Oryzias latipes: one gene and its partners. The protein of the gene in region 1 purifies or fractionates together with the protein of each later gene. This does not show direct contact. Links are inferred from orthologs where the notes say so. Each region holds a gene or a part of one and is shown in the gene's direction. Other genes may lie near its edges.

Evidence for each region.
Region 2: the proteins of prkcz (region 1) and partitioning defective 6 homolog gamma purify together in Homo sapiens (affinity purification with mass spectrometry; 6 studies listed by BioGRID and IntAct, counting the BioPlex papers as one, with this or other methods). This does not show direct contact. The link is inferred for Oryzias latipes from reciprocal best matches to the Homo sapiens genes PRKCZ and PARD6G.
Region 3: the proteins of prkcz (region 1) and c1qbp purify together in Homo sapiens (affinity purification with mass spectrometry; 5 studies listed by BioGRID and IntAct, with this or other methods). This does not show direct contact. The link is inferred for Oryzias latipes from reciprocal best matches to the Homo sapiens genes PRKCZ and C1QBP.
Region 4: the proteins of prkcz (region 1) and llgl2 purify together in Homo sapiens (affinity purification with mass spectrometry; 7 studies listed by BioGRID and IntAct, counting the BioPlex papers as one, with this or other methods). This does not show direct contact. The link is inferred for Oryzias latipes from reciprocal best matches to the Homo sapiens genes PRKCZ and LLGL2.
Region 5: the proteins of prkcz (region 1) and llgl1 purify together in Homo sapiens (affinity purification with mass spectrometry; 6 studies listed by BioGRID and IntAct, counting the BioPlex papers as one, with this or other methods). This does not show direct contact. The link is inferred for Oryzias latipes from reciprocal best matches to the Homo sapiens genes PRKCZ and LLGL1.
Region 6: the proteins of prkcz (region 1) and nucleophosmin purify together in Homo sapiens (affinity purification with mass spectrometry; 3 studies listed by BioGRID and IntAct, with this or other methods). This does not show direct contact. The link is inferred for Oryzias latipes from reciprocal best matches to the Homo sapiens genes PRKCZ and NPM1.

Annotation. Positions count from the first base shown.
Region 1 is NC_019865.2:32,863,838-32,869,159, forward strand, and holds the start of prkcz (protein kinase C zeta type), read left to right. Parts: upstream 1-2,168; 5' UTR 2,169-2,380; coding exon 2,381-2,457; intron 2,458-5,322. UniProt on the Homo sapiens protein: Calcium- and diacylglycerol-independent serine/threonine-protein kinase that functions in phosphatidylinositol 3-kinase (PI3K) pathway and mitogen-activated protein (MAP) kinase cascade, and is involved in NF-kappa-B activation, mitogenic signaling, cell proliferation, cell polarity, inflammatory response and maintenance of long-term potentiation (LTP).
Region 2 is NC_019869.2:23,985,410-23,989,354, forward strand, and holds the end of partitioning defective 6 homolog gamma, read left to right. Parts: intron 1-1,110; coding exon 1,111-2,153; 3' UTR 2,154-2,605; downstream 2,606-3,945. UniProt on the Homo sapiens protein: Adapter protein involved in asymmetrical cell division and cell polarization processes. May play a role in the formation of epithelial tight junctions. The PARD6-PARD3 complex links GTP-bound Rho small GTPases to atypical protein kinase C proteins.
Region 3 is NC_019872.2:21,255,512-21,260,946, forward strand, and holds c1qbp (complement component 1 Q subcomponent-binding protein, mitochondrial), read left to right. Parts: upstream 1-1,899; 5' UTR 1,900-2,030; coding exon 2,031-2,283; intron 2,284-3,187; coding exon 3,188-3,338; intron 3,339-3,418; coding exon 3,419-3,512; intron 3,513-3,590; coding exon 3,591-3,686; intron 3,687-3,767; coding exon 3,768-3,893; intron 3,894-3,971; coding exon 3,972-4,121; 3' UTR 4,122-4,368; downstream 4,369-5,435.
Region 4 is NC_019877.2:17,363,626-17,369,030, reverse strand, and holds the start of llgl2 (lethal(2) giant larvae protein homolog 2), read left to right. Parts: upstream 1-1,864; 5' UTR 1,865-2,114; intron 2,115-2,144; exon of another isoform or gene 2,145-2,427; intron 2,428-2,530; exon of another isoform or gene 2,531-2,585; 5' UTR 2,586-2,671; intron 2,672-5,405. UniProt on the Homo sapiens protein: Part of a complex with GPSM2/LGN, PRKCI/aPKC and PARD6B/Par-6, which may ensure the correct organization and orientation of bipolar spindles for normal cell division.
Region 5 is NC_019866.2:18,052,752-18,057,466, forward strand, and holds part of llgl1 (lethal(2) giant larvae protein homolog 1), read left to right. Parts: intron 1-2,320; coding exon 2,321-2,483; intron 2,484-2,579; coding exon 2,580-2,715; intron 2,716-3,284; coding exon 3,285-3,339; intron 3,340-3,991; coding exon 3,992-4,146; intron 4,147-4,231; coding exon 4,232-4,452; intron 4,453-4,715. UniProt on the Homo sapiens protein: Cortical cytoskeleton protein found in a complex involved in maintaining cell polarity and epithelial integrity. Involved in the regulation of mitotic spindle orientation, proliferation, differentiation and tissue organization of neuroepithelial cells.
Region 6 is NC_019872.2:18,721,244-18,726,663, forward strand, and holds the start of nucleophosmin, read left to right. Parts: upstream 1-2,218; 5' UTR 2,219-2,333; coding exon 2,334-2,382; intron 2,383-3,347; coding exon 3,348-3,427; intron 3,428-4,479; coding exon 4,480-4,599; intron 4,600-4,836; coding exon 4,837-4,930; intron 4,931-5,017; coding exon 5,018-5,127; intron 5,128-5,202; coding exon 5,203-5,261; intron 5,262-5,420. UniProt on the Homo sapiens protein: Involved in diverse cellular processes such as ribosome biogenesis, centrosome duplication, protein chaperoning, histone assembly, cell proliferation, and regulation of tumor suppressors p53/TP53 and ARF.

The DNA of each region.
Region 1 (5,322 bases):
AATGTATTTAGGTTGGGTCAACTTAATGTATTTAGGTTCAAACTAATAAATTTAAGTTGATTCAATTTAAATACAGCAGTTGCACCCAACTTTAAATTGATATTGTTGCTCACTCTAGAAAGAAGAAAGTTGATCCAATTTAATTGAATCACTTGAATTGGTCACACATAAGAAAATTAAGTTTATTTAACTTAAATTTCTATTTTTTTCTTTAATTTCATTTACACATCTGTAATTGATACTTTGTTCCAAAGTTACAACCTGTGGGTCTTTTAATTTTCATATCAATGACATGAATTACCCAGCAAGGTCCCACATCACAAGCCAGGAGCTCAATTGCCACAAACTCTGTGTTAAGTATTGGAACATTAGCATTCTACCACACCAGGGGGTTGGTCATCATCCTCTACCAAACTTTAACTCATGGTGCAAAAAAAAATAAACATAACAGTTTAAATCACTAGTTAAAACAGAGTAAAACAGCTAGACAATAAAACCCAGGGACAAAAACTCACACTTAGAGCCCAATCTGCCCAGATAGACAAAGAAAATGGTATCCCACAATTCCTTGCGATTACTAATGCATCCAATTTAATGGTATCACGTTGGATCAACATGATTGAAATTAGTAACTTTTAAATGGATTATTTTTATGTACAATCGACATGATTCATTCACGTAAGATTTACAAACATAAAATTTTCTGGTTGAAATGACAAGTTACTTTTTCGTTAACTTAATTGGCTGGTAATTTCCTTTTTTTGAGTGCTGTTTTGGGTCAGGATGCAGAACCAAACATTTCCACAGACGCTGAAGGCCCATTTGCATCTGATCCACAACAGCAAGAAACATCAGGTTTGCACATCATTTAAATTACTAGTGTAGTAGATATGATATGTATTTTTATAGTCACAGTGTGAACATAATTTCATGAAATGTATGATAATCCATACTGCCTCAAACATTTATTTATTCACAATATATGTGACTTTTTTAGGATTACAAACACAAAAACATCCACATCCATTACAGAGGCTTCAGTGGATGAAGAGCTGCCCCCTGACCCACTAACTGCCCCTCATGACTGACAGGAATCCAACACATCTGGTTTGCAGAGGAGGAATTCAGGTTCCATCCACATTTGTTTCTCTCAAGAATGAGAATGATAGAGGAAGCTGCCATCAGCAGTACTTCAGATGAACTTTAGTTAGTGGAGGAGAGGAGAAAAAACGTGGTTGGTGTACTTAAAAAAAAGGTTCTCGTGTTTTTGCTGCAGACCTTTTTCCAAAAGGAAAATGAGTTTAACAGACCCTGGATTAATGCCAGTTCTTTGATCACCTCACATGACAATAGATCCTATCCACTGCATGAAAACTAGAAAAGAATTAGATGTGAGGATAAGAAAGCTTAAGCTTATCAAAATGTTCCTAAGATCATCCAAGGCTCAAGATCAGCTACCTGGTCTGGTAGCTCTAATCATCAACCACTGAGAAACTAACAAACCAGGGTTTGACTGATGACTTTGCCCGTATTAATGCAAGACTGACACATTTTTAGTTTAAGAGAAGCAGACCAAGTTCATAGTGTAAGCTATGAGAATTTTTAATTTAATATTATGTATGTAGCCCAATATTAGCAAAGTTGTCTCAATAAGCTTCAAGCTTAAATTGCACTAGTTGTTAATAGATTTTTTACATGGAGGTCATTTCAAGCCTCAAGCAAACATGTGTGTTGTTATCCTTGTAAGACTTATTGTTACTTTTGGTATTTTTTTTCCAACAGTCCTATAAGCTGTACGAATTTACAAGCCTCTGGTTGCTTTTTAAAATAATTGTTAATAGTGAAATATTTGAACCATAAAGTAAACCATAATAAGCTGTTGTACTTTTCTGGGTAGTAACTGGGGGAAACTGAGGGGCGCTACTGGTGTGGCTGCCAGAACCGCCACTCCCGCTGTGGGTCGCAGCGGACCCGCCGCGAGGAGCGGAGCGGGACAGGTGAATTCTGACCCCCGTAACCATAGAGAGCCACAGAAATCTATCAAGCTGCGAAGTGAGCAACCTACAGTTGTGCTTTCAAAATAAAAGCATCGGCCTCTTCCTCAATGCTGCCGCTGCCTATCATAGTTTCAATTTGTCTTATTTTGAAAGTGTGGAGCGGAAATGGCCTAGTAGTTATCGAGAGCTTGACGGCTCCACCGTCTCCGAAGCCTTTAATGTTTCTGCACCGTAAAAAAACTTCAAAACCGCTCCGTTAGTTTTCTTTCCGGAAGTTTCCTCCCGGGTCCGCGCGGGATAGTCGCGCTGAATGCCCCGCAGCGACCCGCAGGTTGGGTTCGTCAAAGTTTGGGCCTGTCCCGGGACTTTCAGCAAACTGCGGGATGGACGCGCTGACGTCGAACGGATCCATCATGGACCTGGCCTCTAAGGTGGTGAAGATAAAAGCGCACTTCCGCGGGTAAGTGACCTCCTCCGGCGCGTGGACACCTGCGGAGCCAAGGCGGCGCGCGGTGTAGCGGGCCGGGCCGGGCCGGGCGCGCGGGCACACCTGCCGCCACAAGAATGAGTAAAACAAAAACACCGTTTCTGACTTTCTCACTGCAGGAAAGTTAAATAAGTCCACAAGTGAAAGCAGTGTGACCTGCTGGTCACCAGAAATATCAGACACTGAAAGGTTTGATGGACTTTCGGTCCCAAAGCCTCCATTCTCCTTCAGTTCGGGACATGAAGGTGAGCGCCGCAGTGGCTGATGGGTGGACTCTGACAGCAGGAACCCCAGAACGGTTCCTTCAAACCTGTCTGAGGAACTGGAGGTTCTTCACCCACGCAGGTCAGAGAACAGGTGGAAGTGAAGCAGAAGGACGTCACTAACCATGATCTAAAGGGAGACACGTGAACGCCTCTCCCAGTGTGTGTTCATCTGAACAAACCAGTAGTTGATAGAAATGAGTTTTATTTTGCTCTAGTTCAGAGGTGAACTTTCATTTCCTGTGTCTCCATTGATCTTTGAGCTTTGAAAACATCCCTCCTTGTGGTTTTAATGAGCTGTAGTTGTTGTGGGACCAGCGGTTGCCGGGGCGACCTGCTGCCTGGACTGAAGTTCATTCTTGCAGTGAGGAGTCCGGCTCTCCCTGTCACCTGAAGCTGAGGGGGAGGAGAGCTATTCTGATGAGGAGAACAAACATGATGAGTCTGGAACTAACCTTTAGCTTTGGTTCTCTATCCCACACATGAGGATTGAACAGGAAGTCTTTAAGCATCTATATTAAAGCAAAACTAATCATTTTAGTTCATATTTGTAATAAATCTTTGTTAATGATCCAAACTATTGACATATTAGATGTTAGATGCTGGCCTCCTATGTAGACAAGGGTCATTTGGACTAGGGCTGGGCGATATGGCCTAAAAATAAAATCTCTGATTTTATACTTTTTAATTCGATTTTAAGATTTTTCCCCCCGATGTCCCCCCCCCCCCCCCCCTTACTTAAGGAAAGCAATAAGTACAAACGGCAGACAACTTAAAGCAAATTTTGCTTTTATCTAATCAAACGCAAGACAAATGTAACCCCCATTTCTGGGATGAATAATAAGTACATGAACACACTCTTGGAATCAAAGTCCCAGCTGGGTTTTAAGTCACACTTTGTAGTCTAGACTAAAAGGAGACAAACATTCACCTTGAGAGTAGCACCATTTTCTAAAGGATTAACATTACAGCTCACATCTGGGATCTAAGGTTTTAATTCAATTAATAAACCCCGTCTTCTCCACGGTATCTATGGGTACCATCTCTTTGGCTATATGCCACCGTGCCCCTTTCATAGGGATGGGTACCGTGCCCCGGTATTGAACGAGCCCCGGGGCAACATTCTTCAAGACTGCAGTATCGTTAAGATCTGACCTCAACGGTTCTGCTATCTGTACTAGAGAAGTCGCATTTTTTCTGTGTCCCACAAGATATAAACAAGAGCTGTGACGGTGTGGGATTTTTTTTTTTTTTTTTTATAACTTTATTTATTGAACATTTTCTGTATTAAACAGACATACAGAGTGTAAAATGAAATGTAAAAAAGGCAATGTGTAAAAATAAACACTCACATGTCAACCCGTCCCACCCACCCCCGTCAACAACCCCCAGAGGCCAAGTCAGACACAAAAAAAATAAATAAATAAATAAAATAAATAAATAAAAAATAAAAAAGTAAATAAATAAAAAACACAAACCACTTGGGCTTTTTTTTTTCTTTTTTTTTAAAATAAGAAATACGTCCAGAAAAAAAAAAAAAAAAAAGAAAAAAAAAAAGGTAATTAAATACGTAGTAATAAGTGAGAAAACCAGGGTAACAGCAGTGGCTTTTTGTTGCACTGGTGCTCAGTCAGCCTCCAGATTGTGAGGAAATGTCAAGGAGTCCACATATTGTAGGAAAGGGCTCCAGGTCTCATGAAACACCCTGAGTGAGCCATGAAGTGAGTACCTAAGCCTCTCAAGTTTGAGATTGTAAAGCACCTCGCGGACCCAGCGGACATGCGAAGGGGGACGGGGGAGCTTCCAGTTCAGCAGGACCAGCCTGCGTGCTAATAGGGTGGTAAATGCAACGGCCCGCTTTAGTGCACTCGGCGTGTCTGAAGTTGGGGGGAGACCAAATATTGCCGACATGGGATTTGGTGTGACGGTGTATCTGTAAGCCCTCGTTAGTGTATCAAATACATCTGTCCAAAGAGCTGCGATCACTGGGCATGACCAAAACATATGGGCATGATTGGCAGGAGAGAGATGGCATCTGCTGCAGGCATCACTAATAGAAGGATAGATTTTGGCCAGTCTGGCATTGGTGTAATGGACCCTATAAACAATCTTACATTGAATCAATCTATGGCGGGCGCAAATAGAGGACAAATGGACAAGAGACAATGCCGACCTCCATTGTTGTTCCGTAATGTTAAGGTTTAGACCGTCTTCCCACGCAGTTTTGACAGTATCGGACGGCTTTGAGGATGCTGTCCAAATTGACTTGTAAACGCTTGAAATGCATCCATTAACAAAAGGGTCTTTGGAGAGAAGAACATCCAGAAGAGTTTCTGGTGGGCGATTTGGAAAATGAGGAAACAGTTTTTTAACATAGTCCCTGATCTGGAAGAAACGGAAGAGATGCTGATTCGGGAGGGCATATTTCTTTGACAATTGTTCAAATGAGGAAAATACATTGTTAGTGTATAAGTCAGAGATTGATTTAATCCCATTCCTGTGCCATAGTTTGAATGACAGATCTGTTTTGGACGGATCGAATCTGCAGTTTTTGTAGACTGATGTGAGGACTGTG
Region 2 (3,945 bases), on another chromosome or scaffold:
TTAAATTTGCTGGATTAGGAAATTATTGCTGAGTCGACACTCGGCTTTCAGAAGGAGTTCAGTGTATTCACGGTGTGAGGACAAACCGGAGGGAGTCTCCGTTCACGACGGTGAAATCCAGCCTTGGAACCTAAAAAACAGAAGAGAAAACCTGAATGTGCAGCAGCTGATGGTCCCGCTGTGGAACTTCACTTCCTGTCCGATCAGGCGTCGCTGTGTGCAGATTTCCTGTCCGCCTGAGGAGAGGAAGATGCCTCAGATTCAAGTTTCTTCTGCCACTGAGGGCTTTTTTTATTTAAACTCACACGTGTAAAGCCAATGATTAATTCTGCATTTTTTAAAGCTCCACTGCAATGAAAATGTTTTCATAGATAAAGAAAATGTAGCTAAAAATGGAATATTTCTAGATATAAATCATTGTAAAACAGGAAAAAATACAGTTTGAAAAAGAGTTTGTGTGACGTAAAAAAAAACACTGAAGGGGCCACAAGCCCCCAGCGACAGGGGAAGGGAATAGGGGGCGGAGTTGCCCCACACTAACAGTCACAGTCGGAGGTGACGTTCTGCTGCTCTGCAGGAACTATGTCCTAGAATACAACACAAGTATAATTCTTAAAAAAGACGACATTTACAATAGATCAAAAATGATGGGACTTTTTTTTTAACCCAGCATCAGTCTGGATGGGTTTGTGATGTTCTTCAGAACACGTCAGAATGTTTTAACCATTGGTGATCTTCATCACGATGGATTCCCTTCAGGAAGACGCGTGCGGGACGCCACAGGTGTGTGTTTGGACGTGCCGCAGCGCTGAGTGAGCAGAGGAATGCTCTGCTCAGGTTAACGGACATCTCCTTCTGTGATTCTCCGTTTGTTGTCCACTTTCAAAATGTTTTTTATTGCTCACATCTGGAATGGAAAGGGATGAAATGAAGAGCGCGCTTTTCATGTGGAAGTCATTTTCGGCCACATCTGGGTGAGGTTTGGACCAAAGGTTTCTGGCGGTACGGCAGATGGTTTGGTTTATGAAGGAATCATGCACGGACTGTTGTTTGACCTTTTTGGTGGAAACGTTTCAAACGCCATTGTTGTTTTTCTCGTTTCTGTTGCAGAAGAGGTGGACTACAGTACTTTTGGCACCAACACAATAACGCGTAAGAAGAAGGCTGTCGTGGCGCTGCGCAACAGCGACATCAGCCGCAGGCGCCCCAACATCCACATCGGCATGCCGCACGACTTCCGGCCCGTTTCCTCCATCATCGACGTGGACATCCTGCCTGAATCTCACCGCCGCGTCCGCCTGTACCGGCACGGCTCGGACAAGCCTCTGGGATTCTACATCCGGGACGGCACCAGCATGCGCGTGACGCCTCACGGCGTGGAGAAAGTGCCGGGCATCTTCATATCCCGCATGGTGCCGGGGGGTCTGGCCGAGAGCACCGGGCTGCTGGCCATCAACGACGAGGTGCTGGAGGTGAACGGCATCGAAGTGTCGGGGAAGTCGCTGGATCAGGTGACGGATATGATGATCGCCAACAGCCACAATCTGATCGTGACCGTCAAGCCGGTGAACCAGCGCAACAACGTGGTCCGCAGCAGCAGGATCTCCGGCAGCTCCGGCCAGTCGTCCGACAGCAGCGGGTCGACCGGTTACCCGAGTTTGTCGATGGCCGTAGCGCGGGAGACGCCCCCGGGAGCGCACGGTTACCACGACGACCTGGAGAGCGACGAGGAAACGGATATCGTCATCGAGAGCAGCCTAAAGCGGCCGTCTCAGCGGTCCAGCTCCTCTTTAGCGTCGAGCGCATCACGCACGCAGCAGCAGCAGCTGCCGCCGTCCCACCGCAACCCCCCCACACGGCCCTCCTCCATGGTCCTCACTGCGTCCTTCCACTCCCAGACGAGTCTGAACGGAGGGTCCCCCCACCACCACCACCACCACCACGGCAGCCTCAACCAGCAGCTCCACAAAGAGCCGAAGCACAGCCAGCAGCAGAAACCCGGTCAGCCGCAGCTCCACAGCAGCAACCCCGCCCTCCGACACAGCAACGGCAGCCTGCACAAAATCCTCAACTCCCTGAAAACGGACCCACGACACAGCTTCGCCCTCCCCAAGGGAGGGGTGGAGGAGGATGGCACCGTCATTACCCTATAATGCCCGCTAACAGACAGAAACATCAAAGCTGCTCACAGACTCAACTGGAAACGCCAGCATTTCACTTCAGACACACACTTCTGTTGATTTGTACTAGATTATAGGAAGATTCCCGCAACTACAGTGTAAATACGTGTTGTATTTTAAAAACACTCTTAGTCCAACAAGAGAAGATCCTGTATTTTCTTAAAGCTTCAGAACAAACAACTGTTTTTAGAGGATTCCACTGTAGCTTCCAGATCTGAATGTACTGACAGCTCGTCTCTGAGTGACCACTGATCAGGATCCTTTTATAATTCCTATTTCTTGGACCAACGTGGGCTTTTTTATTTTTTAAGAGTAAATGTATATTCTTATGAATGCTGTGTAGATTATGTTTTTAATGTCTGTTATGCATCGATGATTGTGATCAAATCATGTTTCTTTTTCAATAAATTATTCTATCTCTTTTATGCAAGCTTGAGGATATGATGTTTCTGGTTATAAAATGTTTGATTTTTAATATTTTCTTTGAAAAGCGCATCACTTTGAGGTATTTTTATGACAATTTAGAACATATTTGCCTTTCTATTTTCATTCATCATTAAAGATGAATGAAAAAAAAAACAGGCTTGCTTTCTATCTGAAAGACAAATGTCATAGAAAACCCAAGCAGTCTTTAAAAAAGCAACACTACTCTAGCGTCTGCATCAATTTAAATGTCCAATTTGACCTTTGGAAGTCTTTGTTTCAAATGCATTTGTCCCAGAATGCCATCAGCTCACTCGCACACAAGTTTTGTTGGGGAAGTAAGTATTTCATTTACAGCTGCTAAAATGAAATATTTAAACGATACACAATTCCCTCATCTATTATTTTTCATCGAATCCCAAAGAAAATGCAAGTAAGTCACCGATCTATGTTAAATTCTGCAAATTTATAGATGCAAAATGTGACAATTTTTGCTCCAAAGATTTGAATTTGAAAAAAAGATTTTTGAGTTTAAACTCTTAAACGTTCTAATCAACTCTTACGTTTTTAATATCTATGTGGTTTGTCAAATATTCCATGATACATATATTTTTTTCTCTCAGATTTCAGAAAGTATAATTGGACGGTTTTTGGAAGGATTGCCTGTAGTTTGGGAGTTCTACTTTTCTATGATTTTGGATTGCATTTAATTTTTATTGGATTTTCTGCGTTTACTCTGAGAAAGCTCCAAAATAAAAGCACGAACAGGATGTCAATCAGTAAAAATATATATTTAAAACCAAAGCAACTATTTTTATATAACCATGACCCAAATTGACTTTTTAATTAAAAAAAACATATGGGTTAAGTGGAAAAATTGCTGAAAACAAAGAAAATACAGTTTAGCTTCAAAGCCACCCACTCCCCTAAACATTCCTTCAAGTGTGCATATGTTGAGCTGAGTGGAATTAATCCACTAAATCTTTCCAAATAAACGCTCCAAAGTACAAACTATTATTTGTGTGCTGAATGATGTGATAACAAAGCTTAAGAACTGAGTTCAAGTCTCTGTCAAAGTCTCCTGTGTTTATAAGAACTGCTGCCACCTGCTGGCACAAATTATTATAACAGACAATTGAAATCACTTGTTAATAAAAAAATAAAAAAGGTATGTCAATTGTGGTAAATGGAGAGTAATCAAAAGTAAAAATATCTCGTACATTTTAATAATCAGGGTGAAATATAAAGTAAACTCCAAGATCTATTTTTCATCTGAAATAGCACTTGAACGTTTTAGATTGAGCAAAACACTGAACAACATGGCTCATTTTACTATGATACT
Region 3 (5,435 bases), on another chromosome or scaffold:
TTACCTTTACCACAGCTGCAGCAAGTGTAGACGTGTGTAAATCAAAGGAATACTTCTACAAACATCTGGAATGCTCACATCTGGCTCAGGAGCAGCAGCACTCGGACGCAGGTCCTCTTTCTGGAGGCTCGTCATCACTTCCTGAGCTGCTGTCCTGCTGCTCCCGTCGTCTCTGGAACAACAATGGTCGCAAAGATCTGATCTCAGAGAAACACCACAGACTGCTCACAGTCGAAATATTTGGATCAGTGGACTTTGAGACAAATTATTGAATTTTTGATCTGTTGAATCAGAAATGAGTCAGCTTGATGACAGTTTTGTCTCACAACTGCCATCAAAGAAAGAAACACTGGCACAGTTGACGGACATATCGGACACTTCAGTCAGGCATTCTCATTACATGACCCTTCACTCTAATTGTTAAAATAAAGCACCCTAAACTCACTTATTAGCGTGTGACATGCACACTGCAGACAAACTGCAGAGAAACAAATGGCTGCGAGGTCATCTGCCGGCAGAACATTGAACTAGAGAAGGTCAAACATCAGAGCTGCTCCCATTCAAGACACAGATACGCAACTTGATTTGCATTAACCTTTGCTGTGAAATGAGACAATAATCTTTCTTTTTTAACCTCCAGCCATTAAAGCTAAGCTTGTCTTACTGACAAATCCTTATGATATAATATGAACTAACTTACAGTGGTATCAAGTCAATAACATGGAAATTATGGGAGTTTTTTTAGTAACATTTTGCATCATTTCTGGCCTTTTTTCAACAGCAGAATTTCCATCCACATAAGAATGCAAACTTATCTACAGCCACTACCTTTAAAAAGGTTTAGTAAAGATAGATACATAAAAGCTCTTGGTCTATATTTACATGTATGTATATATGTAAAATTCAAATAATTAAATTATATGTGAAATAGTCAAGATAATTACAACATTTATCAGGAATTCATGGTAACATTATCTGTGCTAAATTCACAGAAGCTACTGTGTTCATAAAGAAAAGTTAAAAAAAGAAACTTAAAAAAAAACACCACTAAACTCACCCTTTAGGTCTGAATAATTTCCTTCAAAAATGTGGGGACATAAATCTCTCAAGTTGCTTTTGTGCTTTTGTACTGTCTTTAGGGAAGTCTGACAACAAAGAGACTTTTTTTTTCAAACTGATTCCTTAAAAAAAAAAAAAAAAAGTGCGGTCACAGTCGCAACCGATAGTTTGTAAATTAGCAGATTCAGTCCAAACCGTTACAGAATTTCCTAACTTAGAAAACAGTAGTTTCCATGGTGAACACATTTTTTTATAGAATAGAAAATAATCTTTTTACATATATTTATATATATATATTTAGCAAATTTTCGTGGCTTTGATAAAGGGGTTTAAAAAGCATATAAATTTATCTTAAAAAATGAATTGGCTGTATAGTGGGCGTTGAATGGTTTAAAAACATGTCAGACAGCACCATCTGATGGCAGCAAGACTACAATTTCAATATATATTGTCGCAAAGGATGATGCAATGTTTCTACATGACGGGCCTCTACCGGTTGAGATTGTATTGATATTTCTTATTTAATCAAATTTTATTTCACTTGTATGTGCTGTCGAGTTTATTATAAATAAATAAAGAACTCCCGCCACTAAAGAAGGCAGACAATCTCTAATAAAACATTCACATCGAAGACACAGGGGGGCGCCACTGAAAATGCACTACGTTTTTTAAAAGTGCATCATATTTTTTCAGCTATTTTTTAAAAATGTTTTTCCATTTAATTTTACCATCCTATTTTACCATCATATATAATCAGTTAGTGTTTAGTGTTTAGTAAAGTAAAGTCAACTATTTGATATAAAACTAATGTTTACTGAACTAAGTACTACTTCCGGTTCAGGGGTCATAGTTACGCTAGGTCAATGTGCCCTTCCACACGTGTTGCCGGTGTCTTCTAGAAGCGTTCCTGGTAGTACGTCGGTGCCTGCGTGTTCTTATTTTTCTCTCTTCTTTAAACAGTTTATAGTATCATGCTAAAGTCTCTGGTCCGCGCGGTGGGAGCTGCTGTTCGGCTGTCCTCGGCACCATCCGCTGCTGCACGGGCTCTGCCGCTCAGCTGTCCGACCAACCGCTCTCCTGGTTCGGTTGCATCTCGGCCCTTCACCCGCTCCCTGTGGATGTTGAACAGTAACGGAGCCCCGTCGGGATACAGACCTAAACTGTTCAGCTCAAAAGTACTAAGTCCGTCTGTGTCGTGTGGATGTGGAGGGCTGCACACGGAAGGTAGCTGAACGTCCGCATGTTTTTGTTTCATTTATCTAAAAAAAAAAGAGAACCTGTAAACACAAGTTTGGGTTATTTAAAGCAGCAAAACAGCTTAAGTTGCTTACAAAATTGAAAGACACGTGGCGGTTAATTGGGGTTTTAGACGACACGGCGAGCGTGCTGCATCCTGGTTTAGGAGCTAAAGAGCTGACATCACTTTGGCAGGCAAAGCTTTAGATGATAAACAATCAACTGATGTTTTAACTTGTCGCTTAGCAACAGTACTGCTAATTTCCAGACTTCACAAACTATTTGAATTTTACAGTGACCCGATTTTCCTCATTAAAAGTGCTTGTTTTTATTTCTTTTTTTTTTTTCTTTACTCCTTCCACTCGGCAGAAATTGCTCCTGGAAAACGACACAGGTTTTATAAAGATTTGGCTAAAAACGTCAAAATTATTATTTTTAAAAAAACCCCACTGTGAACGCTTTTACAATCGAGCGGGAGGTGATTGGAGTGGAGCTTTTAACATTTTAAACTAATCACAAGTGAAGAGTCCCTTTATATTTACATCTGTATTTACTCAGTCAGCATTTGTTTTTTTGAATATTCCGCTGGTGTGTTATCCATCAACACTTAAAGATTCTACACGATGTAGGTATTTTGTATGTAATTGTGTAACAATTGTTTCAGATAATGCATTTTATCAAGTTTTTTCACCTCTAACTTGTCACATGTTTAAACATAAAACATTAAGGTTCACTGATAAGTTTTTCCAAATCCCCTCTGCCGAAGCCAATAGTTTACTCATATAAAGTTATGTTGTCATCCCATCCTGTGTGAAATGTGGATTCATGTTTTTTATCAAGTTGTCCATTCTACATCACACAGTTTCACCTAAATCTGTTGTCTTTTTCTCAGGAGACAAAGCGTTTGGTAACTTCCTGTCCGATGAAATCAAAGAGGAAAAGAAGATCCAGAAAAACAAAACCCTTCCTAAGATGTCTGGAGGATGGGAGCTTGAGATGAACGGCACAGAGGCCAAACTCACAAGACACCTTTCTGGTGAAAAGTAAGGCGATGGCTCACTCTCTGAGGACAAAGTGACCGTGTAGGAGTTCCTGCAAAGCAGCTTTTATTTTCTGTCTTCAGAGTGACGGTCACATTCAACGTTAACAACAGCATCCCTCCAAGCTTTGAGGAGGAGGAGGAAGCGCAGCAGCAGCAGAAACCAGCAGAGGAAGAGGTGAAGCTTTCGAATTACCTTCTAGATTTGTGATCTTATCATTTATTTATGCTCACTAGTTGTTGTTTTCCTTTGTAGCCAGAGATTGTATCTACGCCAAACTTTGTTGTTGAAGTAACAAAACAGAATGGGAAGCACACGCTCGTGTTTGACTGTCATTTCCCTGAGGATGAGGTATGAATTAAAACGAAGAAAGAAAGAAAAACTTCTGGATGAAGTGGTTAGGTAAAAAGGTGCCGACTTTATCCAATGTAGATGAGTCATGGTGAGGGGGAGGAGGAGAGCGACATCTTTGCCATCCGGGAGGTCAGCTTTCAGCCAGAGGGAGACTCTGAGTGGAAGGAGACCAGCTACACCCTCAACACAGACTCCCTGGACTGGGTAAGAGCTGCTGTGAACCATGAGCACACGGGGGGTCATGAAGGTGGGATGTTCTCAACTCTGCTGGGTTCTTTTTAGGCGCTGTACGATCATTTGATGGACTTCCTGGCCGACCGCGGCATTGATAACACCTTCACAGACGAGCTCATGGAGCTCAGCACTGCCATAGAGCACCAAGAGTACATCAAGTTCCTGGAAGATCTCCAAAGCTTTGTCAAATGTAACTAATATTTAACTTAACTGTCTGTTCTCCAGATGAAATTTCAAAGGACTAAAGCACTCAAGACTCATGTTTGGCACCCGGCAACAAGAATGTTGCTTGTTTTTCTGTAACTTCAATAGAAATATTTGTCAGCCATAGTGATCATTTAGTTTCTCAGCCTCTATTTTACATCTCATGTCCCCTTTAAATGTGTAAACGTTCAATCAAGACCTGTTCTAAAGCTAATAAAGAGAATTGTCAGTTTTCATTCGAGAATTTGTCACATTCTGAGGTTTTACTTTAGGAAGTTTTTATGTTTATTGAGGAACATTGACATTTTGTTGGTGGCTTAAAAACAAAATAAATACACACAAATTCCACACAGAACCAATTCAAGGTTTTAGATCATAATCATCACCTTACATTTTTCTCAATACAGTAAAACTTGAACAAGTTCAGATGCTTCAAAACTGAAATTATTTGAAAGATTCTTTATAATTTAGAAATGAATAGAACTGTTTAAAGGAAACAAATGGAAAAACAATATTAAACTGTTTATGTGCAATAGAGGTTGATCAAACCTTAAGCTCCTCCTAAGAAGCAACCCCGCCCCCCTTCCTCCCAGCTATTTCCCACGCTACAAATAAGCTCTTTTTCATCTGCTCTTGATTCACAATAAATTAAAAAAGAATCACTCAGAAATGCAATTTTGAGCTTAAGCTTCCTAATGTATGTCCTCCATCAGAGAAATACCACAAGAACATGATAAAAATGGCAAAATGTTTGCATTGGACTGGATCTGAAAAAGCAGACACATTCTGTGCTTGATGTTTGTAATAAAGGCAACACAAAAACACAAGGTTAAACAAGGTTTACAGGTTTCATTTGTGTGAAGGACACCAAAAGGTAAGATCAATACTTGAAAGTGTTGCTATGCCACGAGAGACGGATAAAGTTTATACAAATAGCTCACCAGCCTCTCAAGAAAATAACATTAAATAAAGCAATGGTAACCATGGAAGTGTGTTTGCGTATTAAATTAGGTAAAGCAAAAGTTTCAGTAATCCATAATAGCTATGTGTGTACTCATGTGTGCAACATTTAACACCAACAAAATATTTTAAAAACTGGTTTGAGTCATGGTAAGCACTTTTACTTTACAGTGAGAAGGCCCTGGTTCAAATCCCAGCTGGGTTCTTTCTGTGTGGAGTTTTTCTGTGTGGGTTTTCTTGGGGCACTCCGGCTACCCAGTCCAAAAACAAGGTTCATGGGTTAATTGGTGATTCTGGGTGTGAATGTGTGGCTCTGCAACAGACTGTTCAGGGTGCCCCCCCCCCCCT
Region 4 (5,405 bases), on another chromosome or scaffold:
TGTGTAAAACAAATTGATCACTCACATGAATCAGTAGGGTGAATCTATTGTTTCTTGTTAGGTTTTTTAAGGGTAAAGCTGTTGTTAACTTTTGGACTTATTGTTGACTTATTAATATTTTATTATTATTTATTATCATTGACTTATTATTTATATATTGTTATAATTTATTATTATTATTATTGACCTACTGTTGGGCTTTTCTAAATAATTTAAATTACATGTTAAAGAGGTCTAAAACTTCTATATTTCTATATATTCTATATATATATATTCTGTATTTTCCAAAAAAAATATTTTTATTATTATTTTTATTTGTAAGAAGTCCTGCAACTATGCATTTTTCATTAAAGTTTGAGCTTTAAAGGCTGACTGTTTCTCTTATTTAACAACATACGTTGTTTTTTAAAATACAAATATATTATATATTTATATTTATGTATAAATATATAAATATATATAAATTATATAAAAGCTACTTAGATGCCACTAAAGGCTATAGAAAGCATTGTCATATGGGCGCTGACGACCTCACCGAGATGGCGTCGCGTTCTGCCACAGTCAGCCAGGCTTCCCAAGCGGGCGTGTCTCCTCTAACGGTATAACTCATTGGCAAACGTTTACATGTATTTAAAAAAACATACAAGATGTAACTGATGGAACTTTACAAGGCTAGAAATAATCAATAAAAACAAGTAAGCAAGTGTCTCTTTTGCATGGGTGTCACACAGAAGGTAAATTGAATGATTTGATTAAGAAAAACTGTAAATAGAAATATGCACAGCAGCAGCTGTTTTAAAAAGGGGTGGGACCAAACAAAAACAATTTTTCTGCCCACTCCTTTTCAAGCACATTGTTTTGTTTTATTTTCCTATTTTTAACTCTTGTGTTTATTTTCAGTTTGTGTTTGAAATAATAAAAAATGTTTCAAATGTTGCAGTTTCACCAGAAAACACTGAAGGCAGGTTGTAGAATTAGATTTCTTTTACATACATGTTAAAATTTTTAATTTTATACCAAAAAAGACATTTGTATATCCAGGTTTCTTGGATATTATGTTTATCTTTATTAAATTATTTCTCAAGTACTATAGCTTTGATTTTATTGGAGCTCAAAATTGCACTGATTTATGGGTGGGTTTCTTTTGACCAATCGGTGAACCCATAAGGGCTTTAAACTTTACTTGTTCCGCCCAAATGCCATTCAGGGTTTTGAGCTTATGTTGGGCTTTATGTTATCTGTGTTGAATCCAATTTGGGAGATATCTATGTCTATTTCAACATGTCTATGGCTTAACAGCAGCACTGACAGCAGTTTCACAGGAAGACTTTACCTGCTTACATTTTAGTATTTTATTATTTCTATTAGTCCGAACACTGTCAGCAGACCTGTCTAAATCAAACCGCTTATCGTCATGAAAAACCTTCTGAAGTACAACCACAGATCAGAACATTCACTTACTTGTATTTCAGCCTAAATTAAAATGTGGGCATCATTGACTGCTGTGACAGAAATATAGATTGACCAAGAAGAAAAGGTAATCAAGTTAACTGACACATGAAGAGATGCAGGATTCTGAATGCAGACAAAGCTACTGGAAAAAGATGTTCCCCAGAATGCAGTTATATCCCCTCCAGCTTCAGAAGATCAGACCTTTCAGTTCTCCTTTATTATTCAGTCTTTTTTCTAGCTAAAAATAGTGTTTTTCATGTCAGAAAAATACAAAGAAATTTAATATTACTGTCGTCACAAAAGATACAATTTAAGTTTTTGTTTTTCAGTCTTGGAGAAGAAAATCAGCAGAGCATCCATCGAAGCTGCTATTTCCAGGAGGATAGTGAATGCCTCAGGGGGCGGAGTCAACAGGGAAGTGAAGTAGATCTAAGCAGGAAGCAGCGAACCTTCCGCCGCTGAGGAACGGACAAACCTGGCCGGAGTTTTAAACTGTCCACACGCGCGAAGGTTCCGGACCAGCAAAGCGCTGTTCAGACTCAGCAGTTGGACACTTTAATTGTAACCCTGTATAAGAACAGAAGTCCCGGACCACTGGGATTCGGACTGGAACCAGCGGCTGTCTCTTTCACAGCGGCGGACCAACTGCCGCGGTGCACCAGGTGGGTCGGGGGAGGGCCCAGAGGGATTCCGCAGTGCTGATCCCGCAGGTGTATCATATCGGTGCTGTCATCCTTAAGTTATAATGGTCCGTCACGGCCACGTATTGGGCGTTCTCGGGTCTTCTTGGTACCGCCGAGATGGAGGGTTCGGGGCGGACTGCCTAATGTATAAAATCGGTAGAGCCTTCGCGACGCGGCACAGGGTCCTGGTTCCGAACAAAAGAACCAGAACCAACCTCGGTCCCGTGTTATGGTAGATTCTGTTTACCAAATTAAATCAATTTGGATACAAGAGAGAAACCCGAGGAGTGAGGTTTGGCTAGTTTGTTGTGTTGTGAACTGATTTCTGAAGTTTAGCCTCCAGTTTTCTTCTGTGATTTGATCATCAACCGGTTCGGCTCTCCTTGTTCTCACAGTTCGGCTTTTAGCTCGGTTCGCAGTTCGTAGTTTCCGACCACATTTACTCGGCAGGGGGACACTACCGCGCTCGGCAAACCCGACATGAAGAGTGGGTGTGCGGCCCTCTTGGCGATGTGACGTCTCACCTGCGGGGAAAGGTGAGTTCATGTTCCGGCTGCTTGCGTAAAACACGGAACTGTGTCTGCGGAAAGGTGTGTCCGCTGCAGGCGTGTCCTCGAGGTTCAGAGTCAACCATCTGGGGGGGTTTGCAGCCTCGGAGAGTTGACGGTCCGGTTCTGAACCCAAACCTGCAGGACCTCCACGAGTCTGAAGAACTTTACAAAGACAATATGGCAAGCGAAACAAGTTATAAAAATCCCAAAGAAAAGTGGTATAAGGACACCATTTTGGCCTTAAAAAAATCGCCGATTTCTACGCCCGTTTAAACGTAGTACTAGTACGTAATTTATGCCGTCTTGTGTTGTTTCACAAGCTGTAATGTTTGAATAAATTGGCTTAGGCCAACGGTGACCATCAGTTGTCTGTGATAGCCTGGTGGTTTAAGCAGCAGAACCATATACTTTTTTCTCATCGTGTTTCTTTTTCTTTGGGTGACTTTTATCAACAGTATTATTTTGATCATAGTTCGTTTTTGTTGTTGCTCTTCTTCTTTTTTGTTGAGACTTTTCTTGATCAGTAAACTCTTGGTTTCATTGTAGTTGTTCTTAAGAAGATATTAATATGAATTTAAAATCACGTTTTGTTTGCCTAATGAAATTTAACCATGTATTCAAAAGTATCAATGCGACCGCTGGATTCAAACCCAGGTAATTCCAAGAAAAGCATTGCAAGCACGTCATTATTCCACTACACCAGTGTTTTTCAACCTTTTCTGAGCCACGGCACACTTCAACCTTGACAAAAATCCCGCGGCACTCCGGCGTTCAAAAAAAAAAAAAAAGGAGAAATTCGGTCTGTATAGATCTACAGTCCCTCCATAATCTCAGTGCATTTTTGTGATAATTGTGGCAGAAAAAGCTGGAAGCTGCAGCTGTATTTTTAAGATGTAATAAAAGTTAAGTCAAACGATTTAAAAACTGTTTGATTTGTGGTCGTTGTGGTTTCAGGACGTTAAGAGGAGAGAGTCGTGCGCCCAGACGCTCAGTGTCGCTTTACCCCAATGCATCATGGGAGATGTAGTTCAATTATCCGCCGAACGCAGAGAGACTAGCGTCTCTGAGCTTCATTGTCTTGTTCACTTGTTCCTCGGTCTGACACCGGATTCTGTGGAAAGCTACACCGCTAAAGACGAGCTTTGGCTGGTATTTTTCTTAGAACTGAGCGACTTTTTCAGCAGAATTCAGAACAAGGAAAAGGTGACTTTAACCACTTCTGATTGGTCAGACTGATGACATGTGATTAAGATCCCAAGAATGATTGGTGGAGACAGTTAAAGGGGCGGAACTTTTCCTAACGCAGCTGAAGCTGCGGCTAAATCGTGGTACAGTCATTCTTATGAAAATGTATTTAATAGAATCAAATAAACACAAAGAAAAAAGTATTTTACGATCTTTCATATTCCCAAGTTCTTAGTGTTTTATCATGTAGGGATGAACAAAGAACTGAAATCCTGGAGATGGAAAATGTTGTTAAATCAGTTAATGAGGGCAATTTCCCACGGCACACTTGACCATCTCCCACGGCACACTAGTGTGCCGCGGCACACTGGTTGAAAAACACTGCACTACACCACCTGTGAGCACTGAGAAACTGACTTTGTCTGTCTCCTAACAAGGGCGACTTAACACATGTTGCTGTACATAGACTTATTACCAAAGATGTGTTCATCCTTGAAGTCTTTTTTTTCTTTCAATGTTTAAATGGGAATCAAGCGTTTCTGTTGTAACAGCATGTTGGTTTGGTAATTTGATGACTACAAAAAGAGATTTCTTTATTGTCTCCAATATTTATAGTTTATTAATGTAATGCATACTTGTAAAAAACCAAAAAGATGAGGAAGAGCTACAAGAAACTAACTACAATCAAAATAAAACTGTTGCTAAAAGTCGTCAGCAAAAGAAAAGGATAACAAACGCAAAGAAATGGGTGTGTAAAGCCTGGAGTTGAACTCACAATTCCAGCATGAGAAAAAGGTTAAGTTGCTTAAACCACTAGTCCATTGCAGGTAACTGATAATCTCCGTCGGCCATAGACAAGTTATAGCCGTTTTCTACGCCTGTATGTGGCAAAAAAAAAAAGCACACACAAGACGGCGTAAATTTTGTTCTACGTTTCAAACGCGAACTGTTGGAAACAAGCAGGGTTATTGATGGCCACAATTGATGCCATCAAACAGGTGTGCATGTGTGATCCCGAACACACCCGTCCGATGAGACCTTTGTCTCTAAAGCTTCATTAACCTGTTCCTCAATAGGAATATTTTTTTCCAGCATGCAGGCCAGCTGGAAATTTGTTAGTTTAAATAATGATGATGATGATGATAATAATAAAAATAGAACAAGTTGATACAGAAGTGTAAGTGGTAGAACACAAATGAGCGTAAAAATACGAGAAATACTAGTGTGCCGCAAATACTACAAGAAACTGCCTAAAATACTTTGGAAATATCAAGCTATAAATAGTAAATTGTTATAAAATTAATCCTAAATGCTTTTAAGCTTTTTCTGTTCACCTGTTCATATTATCAGGATTCTTCTGAAGGAGTTAAACTTTTGGATACCAGAATGCCAATGAAATTGAAGGTGTTATTTTAAAACACCAGAAGAGGATCGCGTCCACCAACAGAGTAACAGTTTTATGTGCCAATGTGGGGGACTCTAAAGCAGTATTTTTTTTTTTTAACTTTTTGAGTCAATGTATACTTTTCCCTTT
Region 5 (4,715 bases), on another chromosome or scaffold:
CCAAAATCCAAAAACCTGTGTGCTTTTCTAAAACATAGTTTGACCTCTTTTTCAAACCACATTTTTTCATTTACTCCTGATTCACAACAATTTAAATAAAGAAGTACCCGGTACTCAAAAATTAAAATTGTAAGTTACATTTCCTTTATATATGTCTTTCATTGTCAGAAAAATGATACAAGAACATGATTAAAATACCCAAAACACAATTTTTATGAAAGTGGTTTGTTTTATTGGAACAGTGTTTTCTCACTGTCAGCAAACCAGAAGGTCCTCATGAAGTTCCAGTGCTGTATATCATGTTTTTATTGTGTTCTCTGTTACTGCTACTTTATTCTTATAAACATCCTGGTTGTTGTTATCAGTAGCAACCATATACATTTCTTTTTCCTTGTGTTTCTTTTTTAACCCACGTGACATTAAGGTCTACAAACTTAAAGGTTTTATTCTCTGTAGTCACTTTATGGCTGAGCTTTGCAGCTTCCCAGACTGGGACTGTCATGAAGATGAAGGTGTTTTTTGTTGTTGTTGGACTGGTACTTCTGGTGAATTGCCTACACTATGCATTTTTATTGTTTTAATTACATTAACAAATGACATTATTTACATCACTATAATCTTAAAGAATTTCCTTTGCAGAGAGTTTTAGCTGGATTTAAAGCACAACAAGGATCTGAGCAATTGAAGTAGAAGTAGAAAACGAAGAAGATGACGTGGCATTTCAGAGCTGAGCAAAAAGTCTATTTTTTTGTAATGATTCTTAAAGGTCTCCAATTTGGTGATGAATGAATCAAGTCTTATTGATCTCTAAAGCTTTTACTTCAGTAAAAGAACAAAGAATGGAGATGCGTGGTCGCCTTTAAAGACACAAACTTAAGTATGATTTTCAATACAATTTCAGCCTAAACAGTTGAGGAAAGACAACTTTATCGAAATAATCTGCCTAGTTTTTATTCGTTATTTCAAATTTGTTTTAATAATTGTCAATGAAGGACACTTTGGTTTTAAACATTTGTTAAGAAGACTAAATACGCAGTTTTAGGGTCTTTCTACGGCAGATAAAGTTGTATCCACAGAAAGCTGCATTGCTTTTTATTTCAGCTCATTTTCAAAACTTTATTTAAAACTCTTCGTTTGAACACTGACAGATGGTGGTTTAATAGCCCTAAACAACTAGGAGCTCACATAGAAGTGCTAAAATAGTTGTAAAATAAAATGCATAACCAAAACTATTGTTTTTTTGCGACCATATAAGTTGTTGCTTGGTAACCATCAATCAATTTGAATCAATGTCATATAATCCTGATAAAGATAAAGTGCTGCATTTTCTCCATGTTTGGAAACTGGATGGGATTCTGTCATAATGATGCACACATTTGTAATGTTGCCTTATGGGAATTTAAGCTGCAGGACAAATGTTTTTGGCATGTTTGCTTCTCCTTGTTTAGGAAGGTTGGGGTTCACTGATGTCTTATTGATGGCTCTGATGAGACTCGTTTGATTCTGCGTTTCTGCCACAGAGCAGAGCTTCTGCATAGTGGAGCTTTGTGTCTCCTGCTAAAATGCGGGAAGTGTTTCAGCTGACCGTCTAGTGTGCCCTTTCAGAGGGACACGCATCCACAGAGACACTTCCAGGTTCATCTCCGGGACTCTGCAGCAGGATGCTGGATTCCCTAAAAATACTTTCAAGCACCGAGGCAGAGACAATGGAATGCTTTGTTGGGATTTTTTTTCTGTCTCTGTGCTTCCGGAGAGGATCTTCATCCATCACGGCATCAGCATATGTGTGTGTGTGTGTGTGTGTTTGTGTGTGTCAGAGATGTTTCTGCTTGATCTGCAGTAGTGTTCTGAAAAACCTCCACTCTGCAGTCTTGCTGCTCCTCTCCTGCTTAGCTGAGGGAATCCTCTGACATCTTGAGGGTGTGTTCCGCTCCACATTCCTCTCTTGTCTCAGAGGAATGTCTTGCTTCTTGATTCCAGGAACTCTTCACCAATTTGATGTTAAACTTACTGCTGTTGCATGTGGAAGAAAAATATGTGCATCTCTGTCTGCCTTTCAGACAGTTTATTTTTGCTTTTGTCAAAATAAGATCTGGTAAAGATTAGATTTGGGAGCAATGTCAACCTCCCTGTCTTCTCACAGATGTTGTGTTAGATATCGTCTTCTTAATTCCTTAACAGCTGTGTGTGTAGACCGTTATCTCACCTTGTCCTGGCCTAAAAAATAATTCAATTTTTCCTGGATTAGATCCATGCGTTACTATATGTGAAGCTAAAGAAAAAAACACAGATTTTTTATTATTTTTTTTCATTCCCTTAGCCTGCCAGATGATTACAGATGTGGGAAATCCTTAGGGCCAGTCGAGTCTCTTCAGGAACACCCTCAGCAGGCAGGCAAGATTCTGATCGGCTACAGCCGCGGCTTGGTGGTCCTCTGGGACCTGAGTTCCCGTCACGCCGACCAGCTGTTCCTCGGAAAGCAGGTACTCCCTTTAGAAGAGAAAAAAAAGTGTTTAACCACTGACTTGATTTCACTTTGACCTTCTTCTGATGGCTGTGCATGTGAACCCGCTCTGCAGCAGCTGGAGAGCCTGGTCTGGGAGCGTTCTGGAAACTTATTTGTCAGTTCCCACAACGATGGGGGCTATTCGGTGTGGGCCGTTACAAACGGAAACATTTACAACCACCAGCCGGTGTCCTCTACTATTCCCTACGGTGAGAAACCCATCGAGCCGCTCAAAGATGAGCATAAATAATCACGTTTCTATCCTGCTGCGGCTTTTTTGTTTGAGAAATTCATCTGAATGCAAAAGCTGAAGCTCTCAATATTGCAGACTATTACTCTTCTGTACCGTTGGCCCTCATAAACCTCAGGGTTGTGTACAACCCGCCCTTATTTTTGGGATTTTGACTCAAGACTGTTGATAAAAAATGTTTTTATCACCAAAAACATTATTCAAACTAGACCTGAGCTGTCCTTTCACTGTTGATTGTGGGGATTATCTTTAAAAAATAACTTCTGGCTTTATTTATTGCTTTTATTATATTCTGCTTGCTGTTTAGATTTAAGGGAAGTGACTTTTTTAAGTGAATTGTGACTCTAGACCTGCTATGACACAAACTGTAGTTAATGATCTGAACAATGGAGCATCAATAAGAAATATTTGTCTTTAAACTGAGCTTAATCTTCATTTTTGTACTCTTCTTTTTCTTAAGTCATTTGTGAGGATTGAATTATTGGGACTGGCACATTGTTGTGAATTCAAAGTACTTTTCTGTTTCAGGTCCTTTTCCCTGCAAAGCCATCACAAAGATCCTGTGGAGGACGACACAGTTGAGGTTTGTCATCTGATTTGGTTCTTTAATCAAAATGAGTGGTTGAAGTTCCACTCGGATGATCTTTTGATTGAATTTAAAAGCGTTCCAGTGATCTTTTATGATTATGCTGTTTTTAGCCAAAATCAAGAAACCTGTTTTGTTTTCTAGGACATAGTTTCTGCAGAGCGGCAGTAGTTCATTAGAAATTCACCTCTGAGTTGTGGATGGAACTTTGGGGGCGGAGAAAACCCACCCCCTCTCTTGTCAATCAAAACTGAGCTCTCTGTTTACACGCTCTCTTGCCAGCTTCTTCACAATTCCAACATAACAAGATTGTATATGTGATGTAGAGCAATGTTCTGCATCACATATACAATCTTTTTCTAACAGCATTTTTTTTTTATTCACTACAATTTGAATAAAAAAAATAACATTTTGAGCTTAATTTCCTGTATATATGTCTTCCATCGTCAGGAAAAGGCCAGAAGAATGTTAATAACACCATTTTCACCAAAGTGGGTCTTTAAATAAACTTTGTCTGAGATTGTACCCATTATCCTCTGCTCTGAGAAACAGATTTGCTTAAGTTTACAAATATCTGGAATACAATTGGATCAGTTTGAATAGAAAAGACTGAATACCTCTGCAAATAGGGTCCTCTGCTTCTCTCTAGTTCCCCGGTGATCTTATATAGTGGAGGAATGCCACGAGCCAGCTATGGAGACCGTCACTGTCTAACCATCCAGCAGGACAAAGAGCATGTCACTCTGGACTTCACATCTCGAGTGATCGATTTCTTTACTGTCCACAACATGGACAACGACAAAGGTAAGAATCCAAGCAGATATAAATCCTTTCACTTTTATTCTGTTTTGGATCTTAAATGTCCTGCCTTCTGTCTTCCCGCCCTCAGAGTTTGACGACCCATCGGCTCTCGTTGTGCTTCTGGAGGAGGAGCTGGTTGTGATTGACCTGCTGACCCCCGGTTGGCCCTCGCTGCCCACTCCTTACCTCGCTCCCCTTCACTCGTCAGCTATCACGTGCTCCTGTCACGTCACAAACGTCTCCACCAAGCTGTGGGAGCGGCTGATCAACGCCGGCAAAGCACAACAGAGCCGGCGCCACACACACAGAGTGAGAACAGCCAAAGGAACGTCTATCAGCCAAAGTCAGGATTAGTTTGTAAATCGGTTTAAACAGGTATTCAGTTTCCTCTTTACAATGCAAGAGGCTTAACATTTTTAAACACAGTATGGTTTGTGACCTTTCTGCTTCTATACATTCTTCTTATGTAAGTCAACTAACAAATCATTTATTTTTAGATAGAACTAGAATCCAAAAGAACTGCTTTCAATCCATGAACTGGTTGATCTGAGTTTCTCAGCTTCTTAAAATGA
Region 6 (5,420 bases), on another chromosome or scaffold:
ATCGCTACATGGAGCGGTGTCTGTGTCACTCACTATCTCATTTACAATGCATGGAAGACACTGAGATTATTGAGAAATCAGGTTTAGTTATTTGGAAAGGTTCTTCATGGCTATAATGTTTCTGTGTTCGAGTTCATCCCAGATAGTCTCTGCTTCAGCTTCCAGCCATGATGGCCACTGGAGGCTGCGGTTTTCCATCTCCCTCTCTGACCGAGTCTGAAAGCTTGCTGTTCTGCGTTAACCCGAGAGGGAAAAAATTAAAACCAGATTTATAATTAGTGTATCGATGAAAATAAAAGAAAATATCATAAAATTCAGGAGAAGTGTTTAGGATCAGGCTAATATGTGTCAACAACAACATTTAGCTTCGGATGCATTTAAAGTCCTTACCGCGGGCAGTGCCACAATGTGCATCTTGGCTGTAAATGTGTGGGAAAAACTTCAGCCTTTATTTTGTCTGGACACGATTTGAAACACAAATTCACATGATTGCATGGTTTCTCAGGACTGCCCGAAGCGGCACTTCCGCCTTCAAAAGACGCCTCAAAGCTACTCTTCGGCTCAGAGACTCGGTTCTCCCGGGAGACATGGTCAGATTGAGGTCTGAAGCGTCCTCCGGAGCGTTGTTCATTACAAAGCACCCTTCCCACGAAGACTCCTGCTGCACTGATCAGACATGCTTGGCTCGCACAGAGCATGTAGCCACACCGAGTGAGCACTGACGTCATCGCCCCGCCTCCCCCCTGGAAATGCTCACTGGTATTGACTTGTACTACTTGCGACATCTGTGGCATTGTGCTGTGTGATACAACTTAAGATTTCAGAGTGGCCTTTTCTTGTGGCCAGTGACACTCTAAGGCACACCTGTGCAATAATCATGCTGTCTAATCAGATATGGCACACCTGTGAGGTGGGATGGATTGTCTTGGCAAAGGAGAAGTGCTCACTATCACAGATTCAGACAGATTTGTGAACAAAATTTCAGAGAACTGGTTATTTTGGGTATGTGGAAAATGTTTCACATCTTTTAGTTCATACTAGAGCCCTGCGCGGGACTATTTTCTTCATCCCGCTCCCGCCCGCGCCCGCTGAATTTTTGACCAATCCCGCCCGCTCCCGCAACGTATGCGTTACACTCCCGCCCGCTCCCGCAATATGTATGTCCACTCCCGCCCGCACCCGCAAAACTCATAGAATTTAGTCCCGCACAGTAATAGAGATGCATTGATTTTGTATCGTCTCCCGTCCCGCAGGAACAAAACACGTATTTGTATTGATATTATTACTAAAGAGATTCATGACCTCCTCCAGACTCATCTTTTGATGCATTCCTCTTTTGTGTAATGTGCAACTTAATTATTAAATATATTTTCACAAATCCTGTTCGGTTAAAAGTGTGCGTGTGTGCGCGCGCAGACAGACGGCCTGAAGCGCGCTCTTAGTAAGAGGCGGGGCGGGGCGCACCCCCAACAACAGGTTAGATGACAGAAGCCATTGGGCGTCTCTACCTGGTGCCTTCACGGAGCTTCAGTACATAAGAATCAAACAGCCGCACAGCCTAACGTAGTCCGCTAATATATATTCATGAGATATTCATGGCAGCACTGATCCCGCGGGGTTTATTTTTTGCCGCCCGCTCCCGCCCGCAGCACAATTCAAACCGCCCAATCCCGCGAGATTTGGGTTGGGTCCCGCGGGACCCGGCGGGACCCGATCCCAATGCAGCCCTCTAGTTCATACCATAAAAAATGGGAGCAATAACAAATGTGTTGCGTTCATATTTTTGGTCAGTGTAATTATGCTCCAGAAAAACTTATATGGAACTTCCGTTCAGAAAGTGAGGTTGAACTTTTGTCACAATTTAAATTCGAATCTCATGTAAAACCTTTTTATTAATGTTTTTTTAATCAAAAATATTAACATTCCATGACTTTTCCAAAACTTTCCAGAAGATTTCGTTTTTCACAAACTGTTCAAGAACTTAAAACATTGCATTTTCAATTTCCAAAACTTTTCTAGGTTTTTCATGACCGTATGAACCCTGTATCAAACGCCTCACAAAATCTGGGAAGAAAATGAAGCTTTCGTCAGTAATAACGTCTGAATAATCAATAAAATCAGAAACTAGCTTTAGATTGTTTTAAATGCATCTGTCTTTCAATATGAATTTCTAACACCCCCTAAGCACTAACTTCCGCCGAGCTGTAGGAGGCGCTCTCACCCACTGGATCACTTCCGTTTCAGCAGAGTAGAAGAACAGCCCCATCAGTCCTTCCATCCACGATCAGTGATTGTTCCCGTGCAGATCAGCGGCGGTCGTGTCAGTCAGCAAAATGAACGGTTTGGACGAAGAATCGTTGGCACCACAGACATTTTTATATGGTAAGAGAAGTTGGTAGGTTTGCTTTTCTTCTTCGTGCACGTTGGACACACGTGTGTGTATAGCTCGTGCGAGGAGGTGGAGCGGCCGCTGAGGCGCGCGCGGTCCATTTTTGAATAAAATTGAATGTGTAACGTTAAAGAAAGGGACATAAAATGTGTAGTCTGTTTTTATTTTATGACTTATGTGTTTTATTGACTGGATCATGACTGGAAATACGGCGTCAGACTTATTACGCACATGCTCCTTGAATATATCAACATGGCGGTCGCCGTGCTTTTTTTCTCCCCAAATGAAAACTACGTTTCTGACAAATACAGCTCATATTAATATTGCTTTTTAATTTACCCTAGCATAAGATATTCGTTGTGAAAAAATAAATAGATAAAAAGCTTTAAATTAAATTGCAAGACCATGAACTAATTTCTAGAAAATTCGACAACGTGGTTTCCAGCGTGCCGTTAGGCCCCTCCCCCTTTAAAGCTGACCTAATTAATTCCCTTTAGAAATATACTTACGTTTATATTTATTCACATTTGTTTATAATACAATTGCATATATTTTCTTTTGTTCTTCATTTCGTGATGTTATACGTTTTAGTCCTTTTATTGTAATCTGTTTCGTTTGCCACGTGGTGCAGAGAAAAAAAAGATTCTTTTTCTTTCATAAAGATTTATTTTAGATGGTGAAACAGTTGTTTAGAAATGAAGTCAAAATAGTTTTTATCTTCCAGTAAGTCATTACAAATTTGAAATTTACTCCTGCCAACACTTAAAAAAAACTATTTAGAGTCTCTAGAGTTTGTTTTTATTTTAAATAAATTATATCCAAGATAAAATATGGGAACTTTAAAACTGTTAAGCGGAAATCAAATACTTTTTTCTCCCACGTGGTGCATCGTTTAGAGCGCCCTCTAGTGTTGAGTTTGATATTTTCTCTCATTTTAAAACCGTTTTTTGTCTTTTAGGATGCACATTGGAGGCTGGGAAGGAAGTGCTCTTCAGTCCTGAAGATGATGAGCTGGAGCATCAGTTAGATCTCAAACTGGTAATTATAATGAAATGAAGACTACAGTTCTGTGATATTCTTGCGTTTGAGCTCTCATGTCGAATAAATTTTTAGGCACATCAATGGAAATATTTTGGATTTTAGCTTGAAGTCCTGTTTGTGGGTTTAAATGAGCGGATTTTTATCATTTTAAACTGCGTTTAAATTTCAGGCTTTATTTAATGAATTTAAATGTATTGAATTATAATGCATTAAAAGTCCCACTTGATCTTTTGTCAAAGTGTTCCCAGTGGCTTTTAAGCATGATAATGCCAATTTATGCCAAAAAAAAGTATTAAAAAGTGGTCTTGTAGGACATAGTTTCTGCAGGCCGCCAGGAAAAATGTGCCTCCGCCCCCTAACTTCATGTTTGAGCAGCCTAACTCAGTAAAACTATGTAAATGTTTTTCGCGCTTCTACTGGAATCTAGGCAGTCAGGGGCTCGGAGTAGCTGGTTTACCAAATGAACCCAGACACTAGGACAGGCCTGATGGTGCCTGCGTTTGTCTTTCAAATAACGAAACACTCTCCTAGCATGGTGGTTATCAGTTTCAATCATTGCAAGGGTGTTGGCAACGAACCAAAATGTTATCGTTTTGTGCCCAAATTGTGAGATTTGCACCGTTTTGACATTTGGCACCAAGCCTCTTCCAGCTATAGGTTTGGACGTGTTGGTGGTCTCTCCTTGCTTGTCCACAATGGGCTATGTGAATCTAGCTCAACATTAGCAGTGCAATAAAATGGTGAGCAATGTTGAAGCTATTCAGCCGTTCAGTTTGCAACAAATCAGCTCAGACGAGGAAGACGTGGATCTAGTAGTCAACAAGTCGACGCAGGATGGACCGGAGCAGGGAACGTTTGGCACGTTCATTGTAGCACCAGCGCCACAAATAGAATTACATTTCTTTCATCTGCTCCTCATTCGTGACTTAAAATAGACTCAAAAATTCAGGTTTAAGCTCAGTTTTCTTTAAATATGTCCTTCATTGTGAGAAGAATGCTACAAGAATGTTTAAAACGTAGCTCAGACCTTGTCTTGTTTGCCCCTTCAGGCTTGTGTTGACCCCAGCACCAAAGACGAGCTTAACATGGTGGAGGTGGAAGGACAGAACGCAGAGGGGCAGAAAATCAAGGCAGCTCTGGTGTCACTCAAACCCTCCACCCTTCCAAGTGTAAGTACACACAGTTCTCCTTCACTCACCTGAAAGGATATTTTACAGTTAGCCTTTGTATGGAGGACTGTACTGACAGATCTCAAATTTCGGAATAATTTTTTTTTTCTGAAGAAAAGATCTGTGACGTTGATGTGTTGTAGGTTAAGTTCCTGAAGCCCATTCTGTTTGTTTCGGCGCATTTAAATATGGATCTTTAAAGCCAGCTTGTGTGACCTTGCATGCTTGATTTCGTAGGTGTGTCTCGGCGGGTTCACGATCACACCCCCAGCAGTGTTCCGTCTGAAGGCGGGTTCCGGTCCGATCCATCTGAGCGGACAGCACCTCGTCAGTAAGTGTTTTTCTGAAGATGGTTCTTTTATCTGCCCTTCTGTGGGTCTGCATTCATCACACCATCTGCTGTCTAATCTGCTTTCAGTGATGGAGGCGGATCAATCCTTTGAAGAGGAAGACGACGAGGAGGAAGAGGAGGAGGAGGTGAAAACATCAAAGAAGAGGCCTGCTTCATCCCCTGCTGCCAAATCTCAGGTTTGACTTAAAAACTTTAACAAATGCCATAAAATGTGATGTGCTGGTTTTTACCTTCTTCTGATCTGCTGACAGAAAAAGATGAAAATGGACTTGGATGATGATGAAGATGAAGACGATGAGGATGATGATGAGTGAGTATTAACATTCTGACGGCAAATGTTTTCTTTTGTGTCTTGGTGTTGTCAGAAATCCAAATGGTGTTTGGGCCCAAAGTGGCGGGTCCTGGATCAGGTGTTTGTCTCTGAGGTCATTCCCAAAACTACATTCATATTTAGAAATTTGACTTTTTT